2 linked regions of the Oryctolagus cuniculus genome follow. The protein of the gene in region 1 interacts with the protein of each later gene in a pairwise test. Links are inferred from orthologs where the notes say so. Each region holds a gene or a part of one and is shown on either strand. Other genes may lie near its edges.

Evidence for each region.
Region 2: the proteins of PRKAR2B (region 1) and TAF12 interact in binary tests that used the Homo sapiens proteins (3 or more experiments, as listed by UniProt). The two-hybrid records come from large-scale screens. The link is inferred for Oryctolagus cuniculus from reciprocal best matches to the Homo sapiens genes PRKAR2B and TAF12.

What each region holds. Positions count from the first base shown.
Region 1 is NC_091434.1:137,197,752-137,203,597, reverse strand, and holds the start of PRKAR2B (cAMP-dependent protein kinase type II-beta regulatory subunit), read left to right. Parts: upstream 1-1,804; 5' UTR 1,805-1,967; coding exon 1,968-2,283; intron 2,284-2,435; exon of another isoform or gene 2,436-2,657; intron 2,658-5,846. UniProt on the Homo sapiens protein: Regulatory subunit of the cAMP-dependent protein kinases involved in cAMP signaling in cells. Type II regulatory chains mediate membrane association by binding to anchoring proteins, including the MAP2 kinase.
Region 2 is NC_091438.1:143,055,832-143,061,924, forward strand, and holds the start of TAF12 (transcription initiation factor TFIID subunit 12), read left to right. Parts: upstream 1-2,762; 5' UTR 2,763-2,909; intron 2,910-5,271; exon of another isoform or gene 5,272-5,373; intron 5,374-6,093. UniProt on the Homo sapiens protein: The TFIID basal transcription factor complex plays a major role in the initiation of RNA polymerase II (Pol II)-dependent transcription.

The DNA of each region.
Region 1 (5,846 bases):
CTGTGGATTGGACTTCAGATGGCAGCTAGCACAGGGCTGGCAGGAGTTTTGTCCTGTTTTGTTCATCAAAAGCATGCAGAAACCCATTCACATTCCTGGGGAGGGGAAGCAAGACTTCAACTCCTGATGGAGGAACGGCAAGGAGAGCACATTGGGCTGTGCAGAGGAATCTGGCCCAGAGGACAGATGAGGAGTTGGTTATGTTTAACTTCCCGGATTGTCTTACGGGGTCAGTGTCTGGGGAGGGGAGAGACGGTTGCCTTCTCTTTCCTACTTTTTTCATAGCTGAAATGTGGCTGACACGATTTGCAGGGCGGCAGGCATCCTGGAGCACAAACTGAGGATGAGTGAGCAAAGAGCTGGCTGGAGCCTGGGCCCTGGTGATCACAGAGAAACGACATTTGATCGTGTTTAAGCTACTACATTTTCTGCCACATGCAAGTAATGCAAATTATAATCAACACAAACATCATTATAAATGCAGACAGACACAAATCCATCTTAGATTACTGGACCTGTAAAAATAATAATGCTTATGCCGCCGAGTCTGACTAATATTGTGTTCCAAGAAGTGGCACACGGGGATTGCAGTATTTTATTTGTTAAAATGCCTGATGCCTATAGCTAAAAGTTACTTATTACACTTAAAAACATTAGTATGAAATTGATAAGAAATGGAAATGGAAAAATACATTCACTCATGGAGTAAATAGAAGGCGGATCATAAACAAAAGTGTATTTTTATAAAAGGGATTAGTTTGTTTCGTCTCTCATCTATGGCCTTTTGAGTTTCCTGGGAAATGTATTTATTGTTTTGTGTTGGGGGGGGGAGGAGAATAAAAAAGTGAATAAAACAGAAAAGAAAAAAGTGATTTTGCTTGAATTATTTTTACAATATGGTCATCGCAGAAAATGAACAGTGGGCATTGAAATAATATTTCATGGACAAAAGACCAATCCTCTTTCCTCTGAACTGTAGACGTTAGATCTTTCCGAGTCCAGGAGCTGTACTTTAAAATTACACACCTGTAGCCCTATTTCTCTTTATACTGAAATACTGAAGGTCTTGGAGACCTAATGGCAAACCAAAGCAACAGGGAAAGTTCTAAAATAACCACGAACCGACTAATCCAGCACCGCTTTTTTCCTCCCGCTCGAGGACTACCTGTCTGGACTACGGCATTTTATCCAAGTTGCTGCACTCTCCGGGTCGCAGGCCATCAACTTTGCCAAGTGTCTCGGGAAACGCACGGCGCGCTCCGCGGGACCGCCCCGGCAAAGGATGAACGGACGCGTGAGAGAACAAGAAGGATGCCCCCCAAACCGGGGAGCCTCTCTCCGTCCAGTCTCCCACCGGACACGACGACCCAACTGGATGCCAGGAGGGAGGAAAAACGCCTGCCGTGGGCGGAGGCCGAGGTATCCGAGTACTCGCCGGCCCCCAGGGAAGCCCCGCACGGCGGCTCCACCAGCGGAGCGAGACGCGGCCTCGCAGGGGCCCACGCCCCGGGCGCGTGCGGGCGCCGCGCTCCCAGCCAGCCAGCGCGCCGGCGCCCGCCGGCGTCCTCAGCCCCGCGGCGGTGGGAGCGGCGGGAGCTCGGCGCCCGCCCGCCCTCCAGCCCGCGCAGTTGCCATGGTTTCCGGGGATCACGTGGGCGCGCGCGGCGGCGGCAGCGGCGGCGGCGGGGCGAAGGCGAGGGCGGGGCGCCGGGCGGGGGAGAGGCGCGGCCGCTGCGGGAGCGGGAGGAGCCCGAGATGCTGCCAGCCCTCCCGGGGCCGCGCTCGCTCAGCAGCCGCCGCCACACGGAGCAGCCGCGCGCCGGGCCAGCCGGGCCGCCGGGGCCCAGTGCGCCGCGCTCGCAGCCGCCCGCGCCGTCGGCGCTCAGCTTTGGTGGCCGCGGGGTCCGAGGCCGGACCGGAGAAGGGGGCGAGGGCGGCGCCAGGGCGCCCGCCGCCCCGGAGGCAGGATGAGCATCGAGATCCCGGCGGGACTGACGGAGCTGCTGCAGGGCTTCACGGTGGAGGTGCTGCGGCACCAGCCCGCCGACCTGCTGGAGTTCGCGCTGCAGCACTTCACGCGCCTGCAGCAGGAGAACGAGCGCAAGGGCGCCGCGCGCTTCGGCCATGAGGGCAGGACCTGGGGGGACGCGGGCGCCGCCGCCGGGGGCGGCACCCCCAGCAAGGGGGTCAACTTCGCCGAGGAGCCCGCGCACTCCGACTCCGAGAACGGGGAGGAGGAGGAGGAGGAGGAAGAGGAGGCCGCGGACGCAGGGGCGTTCAACGGTGAGGAGCGACCCTCCGCGCACGCTGCCCGCGCCGCTGCCGGCTTTGCGCGTGAAGCCGCAGCCCGGCTCCCCCGCGTGTCCCCGCCTCCCCTACCTTCCCGTCGCGCCCACCCCCTCAGCATCCATTTCTGTCTTCTCCCACTCGCCCACCTTCCTCCTCTGCTCTCTGGTCGTGCCCTCCCCCTCGCCCTCCTCCGTCTGGAGGAGGGAGCTGGCGGCGCGCGGCTTCCCGGGCCGGGGTCCGAGGTGTTGGGCTGGGCGGGTGCCGCGGTGCGTGAAGGAAGCTGGCCCTCTCGGGGTCCTCCTGGGGGTGTCAGGGAGGAGAGGCGGACGCCGTCGTCAGCGTTTCCCGTGAGGAGCAAGCAATTTGGCACTCGCTGAGGGTAGATCCACATTTATGGTTCTCGCGCCGGCATTCCTGGAAACGGAGTAATTTATTATTTTCTAGTTGACACACAACAAAGGAATCTCTTTAGCTTGCAATCCACAGGGTCTTCCGAAGACCGGCTTTTTAAAAATTTATTTATTTTTTAAGTATAAACCACATATTGAATGATTCAGTGCTTAAAATAATAATAAAATAACGCGTGTGGAAACCACCCTGGGAAGTTCAGAAGGCTTGTCGGTTTCTTTAGGATGAAAAGCCAGGGAGTGTTTGTAAGGACCGTGCCAGGCAGCAAAGCTGGAAAGAATGAATGGGGAAGAAAGAGGGATTTTCTCAAATAGCTGCTCCTGGCAAGTCCCACCCCTTCTGCTTACAACGCTCTCTCCCTGACACGCAGATACACTCGCATCGACACACATCTCCCTTCTTTATGGCATCCTAAGCTGACACACCTCGGTGTGCAAATGTACCGTCCTCTTTGTGGTGTGAGGCAAACGTGCGTGCAGCATTGCACCAGCTCTTATTTATGTGCGCTGCTTGTGGTTTGTGTGTCGGCAGCGGGTTTCGTCTGGGTGGAAGAAAAAAACATTTTAAAGTGTCCTTTCATTTCCTTGTGTTGGAATGGGTTGTAAAGTCATGCATTTGAGCCTGTGCAAAGCAGCCCCTCAAACCCCTGGAAATTAGTGCTTTGTGGAGATAAAAGGAAACATTGGCACTTAAGGTTTTGATTTTCTACTTTTTAGCGTTTTCCAGGATAGGATAATCATTGTCTTAATTGTTCTTTTTGCATAAGAATTAAATGCTTTTCTTGCTAGAAAGGAGAGCAGGATGAAAGAATGCATGTTTTAAATAGATGAGAAGCCAGTAATGGATGACATAGAAAGGGCAGAGGCATCAGATACTTCTTTTATGCTCCCAGTGCAGGCGTGCACACACGCATACACACGCATACACACGCATGTCCACATGAACGTGCACACACAGGAAGGAAAAAAGGGCTCGTTTCCCAGATTAGAAGAAACGAAGGGACTTGGTAAAGAATCTATATCATATATTGCGAACATAACTAGTATATTTTGTTTGTGTGCTTTTAAAGTATTTGCATTGATGCTTCCTTGTTTTCTCCTTACATTACTATATAGTGTTACTATATAGTAATGTTTTCTCCTTACATTACTGTATAGTGTGCACAGCACATACGTAGTTTTCATTTTGCAATAAAGAAATAAGCCATGAACTTCTAAACTGCAGGGACCGTTTTATGTAGTTTTATTTTCTCCCGGGCACCTTTACTGTAAAAATTGCTTAATATGGGTTTTAATAAATACCTGTTAAGCCATTGTACCATTTATCTCCCAGACTTTTCCCCAAGGAACTTAAAACTTTTTGACTGCAAGCAACTACAACTTGATCGTTACCCAGTAGAATTGCAAAAAATTATGGAAAAGTAGAACCCAAAGTATGAGTTTATTTTGTGCAAGAAAATTTTTTTTCTTAAGTTGTAAATGCCTATTATAAAAAAACTGCACATGGATTTCAATTTTTTTTCCGAGGTAATCTCATACTTTTAATTTTTCTGTGAGCTTTTAAAAAATATTTGAGGGCCAGCATTGTGGCACTGTGGGTAAAGCCACTGCCTGTGACATCGGCATCCCATACAGGCGCTGGTTGGAATCCCAGCTGCTCATTTGTGATCCAGCTCCGTGCTAATGGCTTGGGAAGAGCAGCAGAAGATGGCCCAAGTGCTTGGGATCTTGCCATTCTTGTAGGAGACCTGGAAGAAACTCCTGGCTCCCACCTTTGGCTTGGCTGAGCCCTGGCCATTGCGGCCATCTAGGGAGTGAACCAGCAGATGGAAGATCTGTCGCACCCTTCTTGTCTGTAACTCTGACTTCAAATAAATAAGTAAGATCTTTAATAAAAATTTAAAAAGGGTTTTATCTTTTAAAAGATTTACTTATTTATTTGAAAGGCAGAGTGACAGAGACAGAGGTATTCCATCCACTGGTTCTCTCCTTGAATGCGCTGGCGGAAGCCAGGAGCCAGACATCCCAGCCAGAACTCTGGGGTGAGTGGCAGGGACTGGAGGACCCAAGCTCTCATCTGCTGCCTGCCAGGTGCATTAACAGGAAGCTGGCTCAGGGGCCAAGCAGAACCAGGAATCCACTACAGGATGCAGTGTCCTGAGTGGCAGCCTTAACCCCCTGTACCACAACTCGCGCACTCCACGAGCTTTCCGCAGTACCCTCACCCATATCTGTGCAGCTCAGGATCTGGCAGCAGCACTTTCTTCTGTTAGGTTCAGTGCTTTGGGATATTTTCTGGTCTAATCAAGTTTCTCTCTCTCTCTCTCTTTTGTTGTTGTTTTTCCTTTTAAAATAATTTGTGTTGAGATGAGACCCAAGGTTTCAAAACAAGTGTAGTCTCAACAAAGTAGTCAGTAGTCTGTTTCGTAAGAGGCCGAATAATAAATGGTAGACTTTGTGAACATCATATGGTTTGAGTCATATTTTTCTTTTTCTTTTTTTTAATTTTTAACATAAAAATTGGGATTGGACAAAACTGGCTGCAAGCTAAGGTGGCCTTTGGAGCTGAGACCTGGTCAGAGGGGGAAAAAAAAGTTGAGGTAGTGCCTGGGAGGGCATTGTGGGGGGAATCGTATCAGGAGTGAGCCTAACACCTACAAAGCTATCAGTTTAATTATGTCAGTGTTCAGAAGTGTCAAAATACAAAAACCCCAGGCACTGGGTAATTCTGGTATAGTGAGAATATGTATTGGAAGACAGGCTTCATTTTCTGTGGTACCAGTGAGGCGTGAGACCTGCTAGATCAATAATTCTTAAAAATCTCCCAAGCATGTCCAGGAAATTTGTTCCATATCTGAACATTCCTTGGTACCATTCTTAGAGAACTTTGTTTGGAATAGGTTGGGATGTTGTATGGTATCTTTTTTCCCCCAGCAGACATGTAGGTCATTCTGTATCTAGTTCCCTGACCATACTTTGGGAAATATTGATTAACAGTGTGATAGTATCTCCTTGTCTTAACAGTTAAAAAAAAAGCTGTCATTTAGTGACAGTTGCTGTGTGCTGGCACTGTCTGAATGCTTTAATGCACTATCGCAGCTTTTTGAGAATGGCCATTATTTCACAGTACTGTGCCATAAAACCGGGGAT
Region 2 (6,093 bases), on another chromosome or scaffold:
GACGGGGGCAGTGACACACAGCACTTTAAATCTCTCTCTAATGTTCTGATTTTTTTTACAAACGATAAATAATTGCCACGCAATTTACATAAATTTATACATTTTGAATACAATCTATGTGTTCAGTATTTTCTCCAGATGCCATTTTTAAAAAAAGGTTGGATGAGGTGAAACTTCACAGAGGCAGAGAATTTAACTGTAACCAAAATATTATTTCTATCGCCCCAATAAGTTCCTTTGCACCTTTCTTGGTCTTAGTCCCTAGTAACTTGTGCTGTTCTCTGACCCTTGCCAGATGGTATAAAAATGGAATCATTCACATTTACTTCATTTTTAATGTAAAAGATAAAATAATTATAAAGAAATTGAAATAGTGCTGAAATTATATGAAATATGAAATACTTAACTCAAATTACTAACAGTTTAGTGTTTATTTTGCCAGACTGTTTCTGTGTACACATACATTGTGTACATAACCATTTTCTTAAAAGATTTATGTATTTATTTGAAAGTTACACAGAACGAGAGGCAGAGAGAGAGAGAGAGAGAGAGAGATGTCTTCCATCCACTGGTTCACTCCCCAGTTGACCGCAATGGTCGGAGCTGCACCGATCTGAAGCCAGGAGCCAGGAGCTTCTTGCAGGTCTCCCACGCAGGTGCAGGGGCCCAAGGACCTGGGCCATCTTCTACTGCTTTCCCAGGCCATAGCAGAGAGCTGGATAGGAAGTAGAGCAGCCGGGACTTGAACTGGTACCCATATGGGATGCCAGCACTGCAGGCCAGGGTGTTAACCCACTGCTCCACAGCGCCGGCTCCTGTAGTGTTATCTCTTAAAAAAATATCATGAGCCTGGCACTGTGGCATAGTAGGCTAAGCCTCCACCTGCGGTGCCAATATCCCATACGGCTCCAGTTCTTGTCCTGGCTGCTCTTCGTCTGATCCAGTCCCTGCTGTGGCCTGGGAGAGCAGTGAATGATGCTTCAAGTACTTGGGCCCCTGCATCCATGTGGGAGACCCAGAAGCAGCTCCTAGATCCTGGCTTCCAATCAGCCCAGCTCTGGCTGTTGCAGCCATCTGGGGAGTGAACCAGTGGATGGAAGACCTTTCTCCCTGTCTGAACCTCTGTCTGTAACTCTACCTCTCAAATAAATAAATCAAATCTAAACAAACAAAAACAGTTTCATTCCTGTTAATCCTTCCAGTGCCTTCCTATTGCATAATGGATAAAAGTCCAGCCTTCGCCATTACTTACAGGGTCTGGTCTGAAACAAGACTGTTCACTCTCCACTGCATTCTCTTCCCACCAGCTGTTCAGCCTCAGTCACCTTAGCCATCTTGGTCCTGGAAGGAGCTTTTTTCTCACTAAGGGCTTTGGCTCAGAGTACTCCGTGGCCCAGCTAGATGTCTGGCTTTTTCCTGTATTCTCTCCTCTTATCTTTTGCTCTGTTTCACCCTGGATTGTAAACTCACAAGGATATTGTCTTTCTTACCCACCAGTACATACAGCAAAAGTCGTGGCACACAGATTCAACAAACTTAAGATTTCATTTGAAAAGCAGAGTTAGAGAAGGAGAGAGAGGGATCTTTCATCCGCTGCTTCACCCCCACATGGCTGCAGCAGCGGGGCTGGGCCAGGCCAAAGCCAGGAGCCTGGAACTCCATCTGGCATTTGGCTCTCCCATGCGGGTGCAGGGCCCCAAGGAGAGCAGCATCTTTTGCTGCTTTCTCAGGCACACTAGTAGGGATCTGGATTATTAGTGGAGCAGCTGGGACTAGAACCAGCGCCACGGGCGGCTTAACCTGTTGAGCCACGTCAGCCTCATTTGCTGAATGAACATACATTCAAACTGGGCCTTGAAAAGATGTACAGTTCAACAACAAAAACTGATATGCCAGACCCTAAAAAGAATGAATGTAGCAGACAGGGAAACAACGCGAGGCAGACAGCCGAAAGCCTAATGTGACGAAGCTCTTACTGTAAACCCAGCGGCAGTGTAGTGGGATGAGGGTGGGAGACAGGAAGACAAAGAGGGCAGGTTGCTGCACCGGTCTTGGCAGCCCTTCCTGCCACAGCCCTGTGTGTGTGTATGCACGCGCACGCACGCGTCTTACTCTGAACCCACGGATGCCGGAACCAGGTCTTGCTTACAAACTTACAACTAGCAAAAATACAGCAGTTCTCATAAAGTATTTGGCAGAGGAAAGAACTGAAGGCATCCAAGCTTGAGGGAGTTCTGAGTTCAAGTTAAGGCTCTGACCTTATCAGCCAGACCCCGGCTTAATCTCTCACGGGCTCCCTCTAGATAATTAAATGACATATGGGAGGTAGGGGCTTAGCACTGTTTGCTAGCGGAAAATAAGCGCTTCACTGCAAATTCACAGGCAGAACCGGTCTGTCGTCTCCAGGTTACTGTGTTGCCAACTCCTCGGCAAGAGTCCAAAAAAATACACACAGCATGCTGCAGTCCCAGGTGACACCCCCGTCCTGATGCCACGACAAAGGCATTAACCAAAAATGGCGACCTCACAGCCATCCAAGGGCATCAGTTATCGATGATGCTACCGGGTGATACAAACAGTGTCTGGAAGCAACACCTAGGGCAGGGTTCGAAACGCCAGGGCAGAAGACACAGCGTTCGCCCACGCTGCCAGACAACCGCACGCGGGAAAAACGGCGGCCACCGAAGCTGAGCTCCAGCCCTGCACCGCGACCGCATGTCGGAGGACGGTGTGCGCCTGCGCAAGCCAGGCGCGCGCCCGCCGGCCGGAAGAGCCGCGCGTTTCCGGGTTGGAGGCGGGGAGCGGTGCCGGAAGTACTCGGGGAGGGCCGCGCAGTCGGACCGGCTGCTGAGACGAACGCTTCACTGGGGCAGTCTCCGCATATCATGGGGAGATAGACGCTGCTGCCTGTGAGTGTTGGGCCCTGGCAGTAGAGGAAGAAGAGCGGGAGGAGGGAGTCAGGACCCAGACCCACAGTGGGTCACTGTTTGAAGGACCAGGCTGTGGAGGAGACGGGGCTGTGAGGAATCCGGCTCCTGGGACGGGACTAAGGGGATCGCGCTCGGAGGAGACGCGGCTGTGAGGGTCCGGGCTGCCGACGGGACTTAGGAGACGGGGACGGATGCGAGTTCCCTGGCACCTAAGGGAGAGAGGTTTGAGAGGGACAGGGTTGTGAGGACCCGCGCTCCTGAGAGGAGAAAGGGTCGGAACGGAGTGGCGCGTGAAGACACGGGCTCCGGCGAGGTGAAAGTGGAGTAGTGAGGACTCGGGCTCCTAGGAGGCAGGAGCGGGACCGTGAAGACCCGGGGTGGGCTGCGAAGACTTAGCTTCCTGAGGGGCCGAAGCTGGCGGAGAAGACTTGGGGCTTCTGTGGGCACGCGATCCGGGCTTTGAGACTCCAAGTTTCGGAAGGAACGGGGCTGTGAGGATCCGAGTTCCTTAAAAGCGGAGAATCGAAGCGGCTGTGGGTGTAAGCGATCAGCCTTCAAGGGAAAGAGAGAGGACTGGGGAAAGAGAGTGATCCGTTTGCAAGTAGTCTCTGACCCAGAGTGCTAAAGGATACAGGGATGGATATATGTATTCTGTATACATTTCTATTTTCAGGGGAGGAGGAGTCCTCCTTCGCGCTGCCTGCTTGGCTTTTGGCAGGCTTGTGTGTGTCAGATACTTAATCTTGGAAGCCCACATAGAAGCATCTTCATTTTCTGCTTCATTCTTGCGAATCGGATGTGAAGTTGAAAACACTTTGAACCCAGTTGTATACTTGATAAGTGCTTTAAATTTCTTTCCACTAAACCCTGACGGAGCACAGAGCTCTGTATCTCAAATAAAAGAATATCAGAGATGGAAGAGCCCCAAAAGACCATCTCTTTCCAACGCCTAGTTTACATTTAAGGGACCCGAAGTCCAAAGAGGGATTAGAGTCACAGTGAGACAGTGGTTACTTAGAGCATAATTTTGATCAAGTATCCTGTGGACGGTAAATAGGAGACGCTTGGTTAATGTTCCTTGGAAAGTGCTTCTAGAATCTTTGTTCTCTCTTCAGACTCAGGAGGAAGATTCTGATAGATTCTAATGCTTTATTTTGAGTCTTAGTGTGTTGACATTGAAACAGTGAATGTCACCAGTAAGAAAACTTTTAAATGAAACCTAATGTTATTTATTTATTTTAAAATAAGCTATCTAGAAAATTGTGCCCTACATTTATAGCAAAAATATTTACTAGGAATGGCTGTGTTTGTTTATTTTAAAGATTTATTTATTTGAAAGAGTTACAGAAAGGGAGAGAGAGAGAGAGAGAGATCTTCCATCTACTGGTTCACTCCCCAAATGGCCATAACTGCCAAGGCCGGACCCGGCAGAAGCCAGGAGCCCAGAGCTCCCTCTGGATTTCCCAAATGAGTGGCAGAGGCCCAAGCACTTTGGCCATCTTCTCCTGTTTTCCTAGGCGCATTAGCAGGGAGCTGGATTGGCAGTGGAGCAGCTGGGACTTGAACCAGCATTCATAATGGATGTTGGCTTTGCAGGTGACAAGTTAACCCACTGCACCACAAGGGATGGCTGTTTTTAAATAAGGATGGTGTGGAGACTTGACCAGTTACTTCTCCTTTTTAATAATAGTATTTTTTTTTCTTTTACTGAAACCTACTCAGACTAACCAGGTACCATTTAAGCACTTTTCACCTACTGTGTCACTTAATTATTACAGCCCCACAAATTAGATATTGTTAGTCCCATTGTACAGATAAAGAACTAGGTTCAGAGAGGTTAAGCATTTTGCCTGAAATTGAATAGGACTGAATGAGCCAGCCCCAATTCTGTGTGTCTCTACAGCTTCTACTTTTCTAAATGGATTCTTCATGTCTTGATTTGCCCATCAACAAAACAGAAGTAATAGTGATACAAGCATATTATTGAATGAAAGCACTTTCCTTAAAAAAAAAAAAAAAAACTTATTCATTTATAAGCCAGAGTGACAGAAAGAGATCTTCCGTCTGCTAGTTCACTCCCCAAATAGCTGCAGTGGCCAGTGCTGGGCCAGGCAGAAGCCAGGAGCCAGTAACTCCATCCCAGTCTCCCATATGGGAGACAGAGGCCTATCTTCCTCTGTTTGTCAGGTGCATTAGCAGGGAGCTGGATCAGAAATGGATAGACCAGAGCTCAAACTTGCACTCTGCTATGGGATTTCTGCATTGTAAGTGTGACTTAACTCATTATGCCACAAACTCCAACACCTTCCTTCTAAATTTTGTTAATATCAAGGACTATATTGTGCTCGCTCTGGCAGCACATATACTAAAATTGGAATGATAGAGATTAGCATGGCCCCTGTGCAAGGATGACACACAAATTCATGAAGCATTCCATATTTTTAAAAATATTAACATAAAAAAAGGACTATAACTGATTTGGGTACATATGTAGTATAATATTCAAGGAGAACTAAAATGTGTTTTCACAGAAGCATAGATATTCAAGATAGAAAAAACTTATTCCTGAGTTAACATTCTCATCTGCATATTTAAAATGTTCTCTTTCACTTCATTTGTGGTCCAGCATTGGTTTATTTTTTTATTTTTTTTAACTTTTATTTAATGAATATAAATTTCCAAAGTACAGCTTATGGATTACAATGGCTCCCCCCCACCACAGCATTGGTTTATTATACTAGGATTTCAGAGTACCTGATCAGATAATCATTGTGTTAGAATTAGAACAAATGAGGCCGGCGCCGTGGCTCACTAGGCTAATCCTCCACCTAGCGGCACCGGCACACCGGGTTCTAGTCTCGGTCGGGGCACCGGATTCTGTCCCGGTTGCCCCCCTTCCAGGCCAGCTCTCTGCTGTGGCCAGGGAGTGCAGTGGAGGATGGCCCAAGTGCTTGGGCCCTGCACCCCATGGGAGACCAGGAGAAGTACCTGGCTCCTGCCTTCAGATCAGTGCGGTGCGCCGGCAGCAGCGGCCATTGGAGGGTGAACCAACGGCAAAAGGAAGACCTTTCTCTCTGTCTCTCTCTCTGACTGTCCACTCTGCCTGTAAAAAAAAAAAAAAAAAAAAAAAAAAAAAAAAAAAGAACAAATGAACATAGGACAT